Arabidopsis thaliana: one gene and its partner. The protein of the gene in region 2 interacts with the protein of the main gene of each other region in a pairwise test. Each region holds a gene or a part of one and is shown on either strand. Other genes may lie near its edges. The genes, in order: MOS14 and RS31.

Region 1 (5,020 bases), on a different chromosome or scaffold from region 2:
AAGACTCTAAAGGCCTATGTATATATTAGCTTTTCCAACTAGTATACCATTAACAGATGCCTCTGATAGTGGATCACAGTTCAAACTTGAGAGAGCTGCATGCACCAATGGATGACAGGCAAGCACTGTTCCAGGAATCCTGAAAAAGACCACCCCAAAGTTCACCAGTATACAGTTCAGTCAGTATCATCGTTGCTAAGTTGAATTGGTGAAAATAAAGAAGGATAGCAAGTAGAAACCAACAGCAACAAATCAGATAAACTTAGCTTTGTGTCTAAGATGATTCTATATAGGACAAAATCTATGACCCATATATTAAAACAATTTACAACCTGACGAACTCGCAATGAATATTTGTAATCTAGACGAGCTTTTGTTCTAAATAAAACTGGAGATAGAAAAGCAAAAGAAAAGAGCATACCCATGCCTAAGACGGAGCCAAGAAGCAAATGCCTCGAGAACCTGAAAAATCAAAATTACAGAACACAATTGACAATAAGTGACTTCTTGCAACACCAAAAACACTAGCTGGTCCAACACACAGGAACATGGGACATTTTTCAGAAGCTAACAATAATGCAAGAAGACATATTAAATTTTGGCAGGTGAGTGAAAACCTAAGATGTAATCAAGCTTTTACCTAAAACTAGCAAATATGTTTTGACAAGGCAAACATAGACTCTGACTGGTAAAGAAAGTAAAAACTAGTGGAAAGTAAAAAAACAGACATGCATCAGAAAACATAAAAAGAAGAAGGTTATTTTGATGTGTTATACAGAGGGATCATGGAAAGTGAATAACAAACTATGTACTGAACTATGTCACGACTCTATATTAAAGATAAGCTCTGACCTGTTCCTTAAGTTCGGATATTTTCAAACATGCTGATAAGATACTAAGTGCAGCTTCCATTTGAGAAGTAAGCTCTTTTTCGAATTGACGTCGTCGATCCGGACGAGCAGCTATTTTGTAGTTAAATGTTTCCTGGTCATAGCAAGAAGGACAATATAAGATCAAGACATCATATAACCATCTAGATTAAAGCTAAACATTCCTAAAGTGAATCAAGTTAATGAAAGGGAAAGGTCAAACGATGTGGTAGAGATTTGTGAAAAAATTAGAATCTTCATTTAGTTACAAATAAACTACCAACATTTTTTGCAAACAATACCATACAAAATATCAAGGTCTTGCCCAGCCAATACTTTAGGGATTGAAATAACACTCACAGAGTAACGTCGAATGCTACCTAAACATAGATATGGAAAAAGTAAAAAAGGAACAGAATATTCTCCAAATAGGTCTACCCAATTTGAGGTCAGTAATACCAGCATAAATAATAAGTAAGAAGATCCAAGTCAGACCAAAATAAGGCCTTTCATATCTATATAGCCGGATACATGAAGTCAAATTAATTACTGAGTGAGATGAACACTTAAACAAAGGAATAAAAAATACTCTACCTCGGGCAAAACTGTCAAGAGTTCCAAGAAACCAGGCACATATTCAGGATGCATATGCATCTCATCCCTAAGCCAGCTAATTATACCACCATCTCCCCAGTCTGCCGCAGGAACATGCACCGCCAAGGCAGCAACAGCAATGCTAATCTACAATATAAAATACTTAAATAAGATAACTCGACACAAAGTACATGACTTTATACGCACAACAGAAAATTCCACATATGCACTTACCTGGGTCCTAACTTTTGGAGGGCCCTTGTGGAACTTTTTTAACAATGTCTGCATTTGAGAAAATAATGAAAGTCAAAATTTTCCGGGAAGTAATTGTCCAATACCAAGAATAATAGGCCAGAAAGATGAAATCATAGTAAAACCTAGATCCCAGAATACTCTAGTTCAACTGAGTTTTCCTATTATGTTATTGCTCAAAGGAACAGACATACTAATGAATAACTCATGAAACCCTACAACTTTGGAAGAAATAGTTAATAGAACAAAGAATTACCGTTAATGATTGCCGTAGCTTCTGAAAAGCCCCAGGTGGTAGTTCTTCAAAATCTCGTTGAACCTTCGAGTGAGACAGACTAGATGTCACCAGAATGCTCCAAGATTGTGTGATAAATGAATAAGGATTTACAGAAACATTCAGGTGCATTTACCTTGCTTCGAAGGGTCTGAGAACAGAATATCAAAGTTTCCAAATTGCTAGAAGAATCATGAAGTAAATTATCCGCAACCTAGAAAACATACAACAGCACAGAGTAAGAAATATTGTAGAACTTCTCCATCAAAAAAAATCCTCTTCTCCGCAACAACAATCATGGGTCTAAAAGAAAAGAGCTCATATAAAACCTAGCTAATCGTTTCTCTAACAAGGTAAATCTATTCACACACCTTACACATACTTCTCAAACCAGCTACAGGAAAAAGTGCACAATTGAACTTAGATGTACTGAAAATTCGAGATTTCTGCTATGCATAAGCCTATATGACCTTAACAAGCGAATCGCTAATACAAATTGACTAAAGGATGAAAATTTATGCACTTATATAGTCTAAAGTAACTCAGAAATGAACTTAGACGTACTGAAATTTTGAGATTTCTGCTATGCATAAGCCTATATGACCTTAAAGAGCAAATCACTAATACAAATTGACTAAAGGATGAAACTTTATGCACCTATATGGTCTACAGTAGCTGAAAATCGAACATTAAACTCTAGCACAAGTGCTACAAAACAAGGAAGAACAAATCGAACCTAAACAAATCGAGATTAAATAATTGAAATCGAAAAGAAAAAACTCGCCTGCCAAGCATCGAGAGTTCCTTGGAAGTTCTGAAGCCAGCGATCAGCGTGCACACGCACTGTATCATCCGGGTGATGATACAGTGCGTTTAGGGCTTCTTTGACCGCGTTCTGATGCTCCATAGCTATGAATCTTTACGCGTTATTCGCTCGTACGGTCACCAAATCACGACCAGAGAGAAAGACCCAGATTGAGAAATAGAAGAATTTGCCCAACTGAAATTCGGGATTTTGTCAAATCGATTTCGCCCAACAAAAACAATAAAAATAAAAACTTTTTTTTTCCCTCTTTGTCAAAAAGGTTTTTTTTTGGCGCCCCTCAACTTGAGTGAGGAAGAGAGATAGAGATCGAATTTTGATCTGAAAGAGGATGAAGAAGAGAGAATCTCAGCCGTTAGATACAATTACTTTGACTTAAAGTCAAATCCTTCTTCTTTTATTTTGAAGACAGAAGTTGTTTACTTTTTTTCAGTTGTTGCAATAAATTGAAGACAACAAAAAAAACGTATCATTGATTCATCATAACATAAAGATTATACAAAGGACAAGATTTAAGACCAACATATGTTACTGAATCAATTGTTACAAGTTATATAATAGGACAATACAACAATGTTTTATAAAGTGTTAATCTCTCTGGTCACTCTCATATTCTATCTTATGATATAACAGCAAAATGATACACACGCATAGGATAAAAAATAAAGGGTTGCATTCATTTTTACTGCCTACAAAACACATCCATCAATCAGAGAAAGACTCTTTTTTATGTGGTTCGGTTAAAGTTCCCATCAACCTGCATATGGAGCCACTCCGGTTGAGATACTCGGGTTTCATTAGCTTCTTGTTGCTCGTATATTGTTCGATGAACGTCAATCGGTAAAGTCCCGAGCTGATACAACACACCAAGAGCTTTTAGATTTAGTAGCTTTGATTAAGAAAGATAAGATTTTTCTATGTTCTTTTAGATTTGGGACTTACATCACCGGAAGGAAAAACTCCTATTGTCGGACCAGTACTTGCACCCGAGTTAACAACTTCTAGCTTCATTGATAGAAACTGCAGACCAAACTCCATGCTTAGGCATGTATAATTGTAACATATAACAGAGAGGTGTTAACGACTTTTACCTCAACTTGCCGCTGCAATGACTGAATATAATTGATAATCTCATCGAGCACAAGGGCTTTTCCGATTATCTGATCAACAGAAATATCTTGTTGAATGTTTTTTAGGCTATAATAACATCATTCACAAGCAGGGACCAAAAGAACATGTACCTTATTACATCCTGGAATTATATCTTGAAGAGCTGTCATCTTCTCACTGATCTTTTCTCTTCTAGCCTGTCAAAGACAACATTGTGATTCTAATAAAAGGAACAGTTTTTGAGGATAAAATTTATGGTGATTTTAGCAGAAGAATTACTCGCTCTGCTAAACTATGCCGGTCAGTAGCTTGTCCTCTTCTTGCTCTCACATGAATATAATCCTTTGGTGGCTCAGGTTTGTTCTTCTGTTCCGTTGCTTTGCTTCCACCACCACCCGAACTTGTTTCGCCTTCAGGTCTCATCGAACCATCTCCATTTCCACTTTCAGATCCACACAGTTTTCTTTTCTTATCCCCTGATTCTTTCTATTAAAAAAGTAAACAGATGGAAAGCTTTAAGATCCTAAATCAAACTCTCAATCTAAGATCACTAAGTAAGCATTGACCATTCCAACATCTATCAAACTAATGGTCTTCAAGCTGAATCCAACTTAAGTCAAAAAGTCAATGGAGATAAGTCATCTAATCTATAAACTAATCCTTGATCCCTAAACCAAAGACTTAAACTTTGACTCATTGATTTTTAGATCACCACCAAGCTAAAGGATCTAGATTCAAACATTCAAAAGACCCAACAAATAAAAATCAGGACTTTTCAAAAATTGAAGTGCAAAATCTCACCAATTCATTACCACTGCTGCTGGAAGAAACCATCTTTGAAGAATCATCCTCAGAGTTCAAATCTCTAGTCTTTCTACTTCCCCAGCCAGCAGTTAGATCGGTGACTGTAGATTCCTCAGCCGCGGAGACGTCTTTATTGCCGGAATGTTCAGAGCGAGTAAAGACTCGACCGGAGTTAACAGCTAAACGGAGACCAGAGCGAACGGCGTCGTTTACAGGGAAAGGCCAAATCTCGGAGAGAGTGTAAGAAGAAGGATTAGCTGCAGAGAAGGAGGAATCGTTCACTAGTGGAGGGTC
Region 2 (4,982 bases):
TGTGTATGAACACATGATGATTAGTAGCTGGCTTGAAATGCGGAAGTAGATGCCCACTTTATAGTGCCCGCCAACCAAACATGAATTTTTCATTGGGTTTGTGTTGTTTTGATTATTTAATTACATGACTACTCCTGTTTAAATTTAAATATCCAAGATGAAATCAAACGCGATATTCTCCTAGTCTATAAGAAATCTACATTTATCTGCGCGCATGGTCGCTTTATTCAAAACAATTAAGAAAACATAATGCAACGGATCGATGGAGTCAACTATATATTTATAAAAATATTATACAAAGCTGTTTATCTTCAGGCCAAAGAAATCGAAGGAATAAAAGGACATGTCTCACAAATATTTTAACTAGTTAATAATATCATTATAGAAAAGTTATAAAAAGAATTCCACCTCGATTCTCAATTGTCTTTTTTTTACAATTTTACCTTATACAATTTTTCTTTCTTTTCGATCACAAGTTTCACAAAAATCAAAAGATTATAAGAATGTTTATCAAAAAAAAAAAAAAAGTTTATTAGAAGCGACGGCATAGCGTTTGACTAAAGAATTTCGGAGAGTTTTTGGGCCTATCGGCCCAATTATCCCACCTGATGGGAAGCGTTGCCCTCAAAGTAATTGTTTGCAGGTAATTAATTGTTCAAACAAAGTGACAATTTCCTTCCGTTGTCATATAGGAAAAAAGTTGCATCAAAATGATTTATTTTCTGGCAAACTTGTGTCATTGTTAATTTATATGGGATTTAGAATAATTAATGACGAATGAAAAGAGTATATGAACCAAGTAACAGATCGTGACAAAGCGCCATTATGAAGTTTCTACTGATTTTAAGATAAAAGTCTAAGATCCCAAAGTTAACAAGGATTTCAAAACATCAAAAAGCATCTTCTAACTCAAAACACAACATAGATAAATTTACCCTTTCGAAAAACTCATTCTTCGAAGCTTCTGTTTTCTGCATTGATCAAGGTCTTCCTCTTGGGACTGGAGAACGACTGTTCAATCAAAAACATTACATAAGAACATCAATGGGACTTGAGTGAACAGTAAGAAGCCAAAGCCATTTTTTTTTTTTTTTACCTTCTGTATCGGTCATAACCAGGGCTCCTTTGTCTACCATAATCAGAACTCCTTCGTCCATAATCTGGACTCCTCCGTCTTTCATAAGCTGCTGGACCTTTGTATCTGTCGTATTCTGGGCTTCGAGCACGACCATAATCTGGACTTGGACGCCTACCCTGACCAGGGCTTGGACGCCTGCCATAATCTGGACTTGGACGCCTACGATACACAGGACTAAGAGACCTTCTCGGGCTACGACCACCATTTCGATCATCTCTTTCATCGTCATCTTTCAACGCATACTCCACGGAAACAACCCTATCCAATATTTTGCTGAGGAAACAAAAAGGGGATGTTTTTAGAGAGGCAAATGTACTAAAAGTTTGACGGAAAAAGTAACTAGAAGAAGTGTTGTTTTACCTTCTTTGAGTAGCTTCAAGGGCTTTTGTAGCATCCTCTTGTGTTTCAAACTGAACAAATGAGAAGTTGCGTCTGATACGCACGTTGGTGACCTTACCATAGGGCTCAAAGTGTTTTTCAATGTCGTGCTCTTTTGTTCTAATGGGGTCAAAGTTAATGACAAACAGTGTCTTTGTAGGCTTCAGATTTGAAGGGGCTTTCGCGTCACCACGAGGCCTGCCACGTTCACCCTGAAAACCGAAAGAAACTTTAAAAGGTTTCTTAAATATGCGGCATAGTGCAAGCTTCAATAAAAACCAGAAAAAAATTTATACCTTTGCCCATTCAACTGATAACCTGCGTTTCTCATATCCAAAAGGAAAATTGTCGAGTTTGCGAATAGCGTCTTCAGCATCACGTTCATCCTCAAAGTACACAAAAGCATATCCTGCAACAAAAGAAAGCACAAGGATTACAAAACGCAACACAAAGAGTGACAATCCTCCTGTCCATTAACCTGCTGCATATCTCGTTTACCCTAGAAAATAACTAAATAGATATACAACACCTTCATATAAGTGAAGGCTGGTGAATATGAGAGATGTAGAGGCATTCCATGATGTAGTAGAAAAACAAGATTTGTAGCATAACACAGGAATTCAGGATTTTTATTTTTAAAAACACCAATTTTATATTAAAAAATCTGAGTGATTTGCCAGGCATGCTTAAACATTCTGAGTGGAGGAGTTCAGATATGGAAGGCAAGGCATGGCAATGATGGATTCAATAGACTTCCATCTGAAGCATCGATGATTGGTAATAGACAGACAAATTCCAAAGTTTCTCTAGAGTCAGTGAAGATTGGTAGGCACAAGATGATAAAGGCAGGTATGAAAATGTAGAAATGATTTTGCAGGAAGAAGAAGAAGATGGCAAATCTTGTTCCTTTGAAGAAAAGTTCCTGCGAACAAATAAACACTCAATACAACCATCCTCTCTACTGCATAAACCCCCTACCACACTTAACACATTCGGGAAAAATAAAACCAATCTTTTCTATGTAACGGTACTATATATAAACCTTCAAATCATGTATGAAACTGGAACTAGTTCTAAGTATCCAGAATCCTAGGTCAAGCAGAAACTAAACCTAAGCAAAGATGATTTATCAACCAGAAGACGAATTCGAATTCGAGACGGACAAACAACAAAATTTCACCGGCGTATAACTTAGAAGACACTTTACCAGATTTCATGTCCACTCGGTCGACTCTCCCATACTTGTCGAACAACCGTTCCAGATCCGACTGGCGAGTTTCATACTCGAAATTGCCGACGAACACTGGCCTCATCTTTATCTTAATTCGCAATTCCTAACGATCCAATAACTCGAAATTAGTAACATGTAAGGGATAAAATAAGGTATATGGACATGAGCAAGTATAATTATCGGAGAAAAGTTACCTCTGAACAATCGGAGAAGAAACGAAAAACAAACCCTAGACGACGACGACGACTACTACGCTCATCGAAGAAAAGCAGAGCCTGGTTGACTTAAAAAAGCCCGTCATACCATCATGGGTACATTCGGAAATTCAAAAATCATAATGGGCCTTCTTTATAAATAGGCCCACAATAAGTTAGCCCCATACCGAAGAACTCGTTGGAGTCTTTTCTTATAGAATTAAATTTATACATGTTTATATACAGACCCATTTTCCGTCGGTGAAGAAGAAAAGAATTAAAGTTTATGTAAGTGTCCAGTTTTCTGACACGTGGAGATTCAACGGAGTTCTCTTATCTGTTTTGGTTCGATCATTTTTGCGGTTTAGGATGTCTCTATTGTTTCTTCTTCACTCTTTTTGCCACAATCTCTGTTCCAAGAATCGCGAGTATGGCGACCACACTTCATTGTCTCTCCACACTCCATCTTCTTCCTCGCACTCATCACCCTAAAACCCTAAACTCTCTCAAACCAATCACCACCAAATCACAACCATGTAAAACCCCAGAAATACCCTCCACTCCCAACGCTCTTCAGCTCCTTAAATCATCCTCTCTCCCTCTCGCAGTCATCGCATTGCCTTTCTTCCTCGACCCACAGGTAATCAAAAAGTTTCACATCTTTCCCCAATAGTTTCACATTCTACAAATATAACCAGATGATCAAGATTCTTGTTTTCTTTGCAATTTCAAAAGGATGCAGCAGCAGCTGGAGGAGAATTCGGAATATTAGAAGGGAGATCATTTGCGTTGATACACCCAATTGTGATGGGAGGTTTATTTGCATACACTCTTTGGACTGGTTACTTAGGTTGGCAATGGAGACGTGTCCGTACGATACAGAGTGAGATTAGTGATCTCAAGAAACAGCTTAAACCAACTCCTGTTTCCCCTGATGGTTCCACAGCCGTTGATTCTTCGTCGCCTCCTTCTACGACTGAGCTTCAGATCCAACGGCTAACTGAAGAGAGGAAAGAGTTGGTCAAAGGGTCTTACAGAGACAAACACTTTGACGCTGGCTCTGTTTTGTTAGGTTTCGGTGTTTTGGAAGCTGTCTTTGGTGGTGTTAACACTTATCTTCGTACTGGTAAACTCTTCCCCGGTCCTCATCTTTACGCCGGTGCAGGTACCTTAAACCTATCTCTCGTCTTATTTTTCATTTCCTTGATTTTAGGTTCTAATTTATCAAAGTGTGTAATCTTGGGTTGCTTAGTCAGGTTTTGGCTTGGTCTGATGTGGTTTAAGTTTTGATCAGAACTTTGGATTTTAGTTATATTGGTATAAATAGTATTGTGCCATTTCAAAAGTTACCATTCATCACAACTATGAGAAAAAATGTGGTTTATATTTGTTATTGGATGTACAAAACGTGTCACATTTTGTGTTCATGGTGGTGGTGGTGGCAGGAATAACGGTGTTGTGGGCGGCGGCGGCAGCATTGGTGCCGGCAATGCAGAAAGGGAACGATACGGCGAGGAGTCTACATATAGCGTTGAATGCAGTAAATGTTCTTCTTTTCATTTGGCAAATCCCAACAGGTCTTGATATCGTTCTTAAGGTCTTTGAGTTCACTAAATGGCCATAGATATTAATATTTGGATGTGTTATTTATGAGTTTGTGACTCTATATATGCAAATATTCTTCAACTTTTTTTGAGGTTTGTAGATGATGAATTGTAAAAATCATGCAATTAGAGTGGATATTGGAATAATGGTGGAAAAACGATCAATAATACTCTTTTACCAGTCCTTTGTTTTCACCTGATTGTGTCAAATATAAATTGGATACGCTATGATTGTGTCAAAGATTAGTAGATTACTGACATTTGTCTCACCTAAAAAAAAAAAGAATACTGACATTTATTATATCTTAAATGTCTATCAAATAATATACTTTGTCAATTTTGGCCCATGTATATAGATACAATGGTATTTATGTTGATAGGCCCAAATTGGTTATCGATAATTCTTGATCAAGCCAATTTTCAGTTTACATGTAAAT

The links.
Region 1: the proteins of RS31 (region 2) and MOS14 interact in a two-hybrid assay, tested with the Arabidopsis thaliana proteins (one study listed by BioGRID).

The regions. Positions count from the first base shown.
Region 1 is NC_003076.8:25,129,578-25,134,597, forward strand, and holds the start of MOS14 (ARM repeat superfamily protein), read right to left. Parts: upstream 3,140-5,020; 5' UTR 2,897-3,139; coding exon 2,774-2,896; intron 2,204-2,773; coding exon 2,126-2,203; intron 2,035-2,125; coding exon 1,972-2,034; intron 1,746-1,971; coding exon 1,698-1,745; intron 1,611-1,697; coding exon 1,464-1,610; intron 985-1,463; coding exon 853-984; intron 463-852; coding exon 422-462; intron 140-421; coding exon 48-139; intron 1-47. Other genes in the region: AT5G62610 (basic helix-loop-helix (bHLH) DNA-binding superfamily protein), read right to left, coding at 3,540-3,665, 3,755-3,832, 3,904-3,972, 4,054-4,119, 4,202-4,408, 4,724-5,020. UniProt on the Arabidopsis thaliana protein: Functions as a nuclear import receptor for serine-arginine rich (SR) proteins. Regulates nuclear import of SR proteins that are required for proper splicing of the two resistance (R) genes SNC1 and RPS4, a crucial step for their functions in plant immunity.
Region 2 is NC_003074.8:22,899,331-22,904,312, forward strand, and holds RS31 (RNA-binding (RRM/RBD/RNP motifs) family protein), read right to left. Parts: upstream 3,066-4,982; 5' UTR 2,942-3,065; intron 2,851-2,941; 5' UTR 2,830-2,850; coding exon 2,724-2,829; intron 1,926-2,723; coding exon 1,813-1,925; intron 1,729-1,812; coding exon 1,499-1,728; intron 1,412-1,498; coding exon 1,097-1,411; intron 1,012-1,096; coding exon 981-1,011; 3' UTR 720-980; downstream 1-719. Other genes in the region: AT3G61870 (plant/protein), read left to right, coding at 3,372-3,581, 3,677-4,106, 4,387-4,565.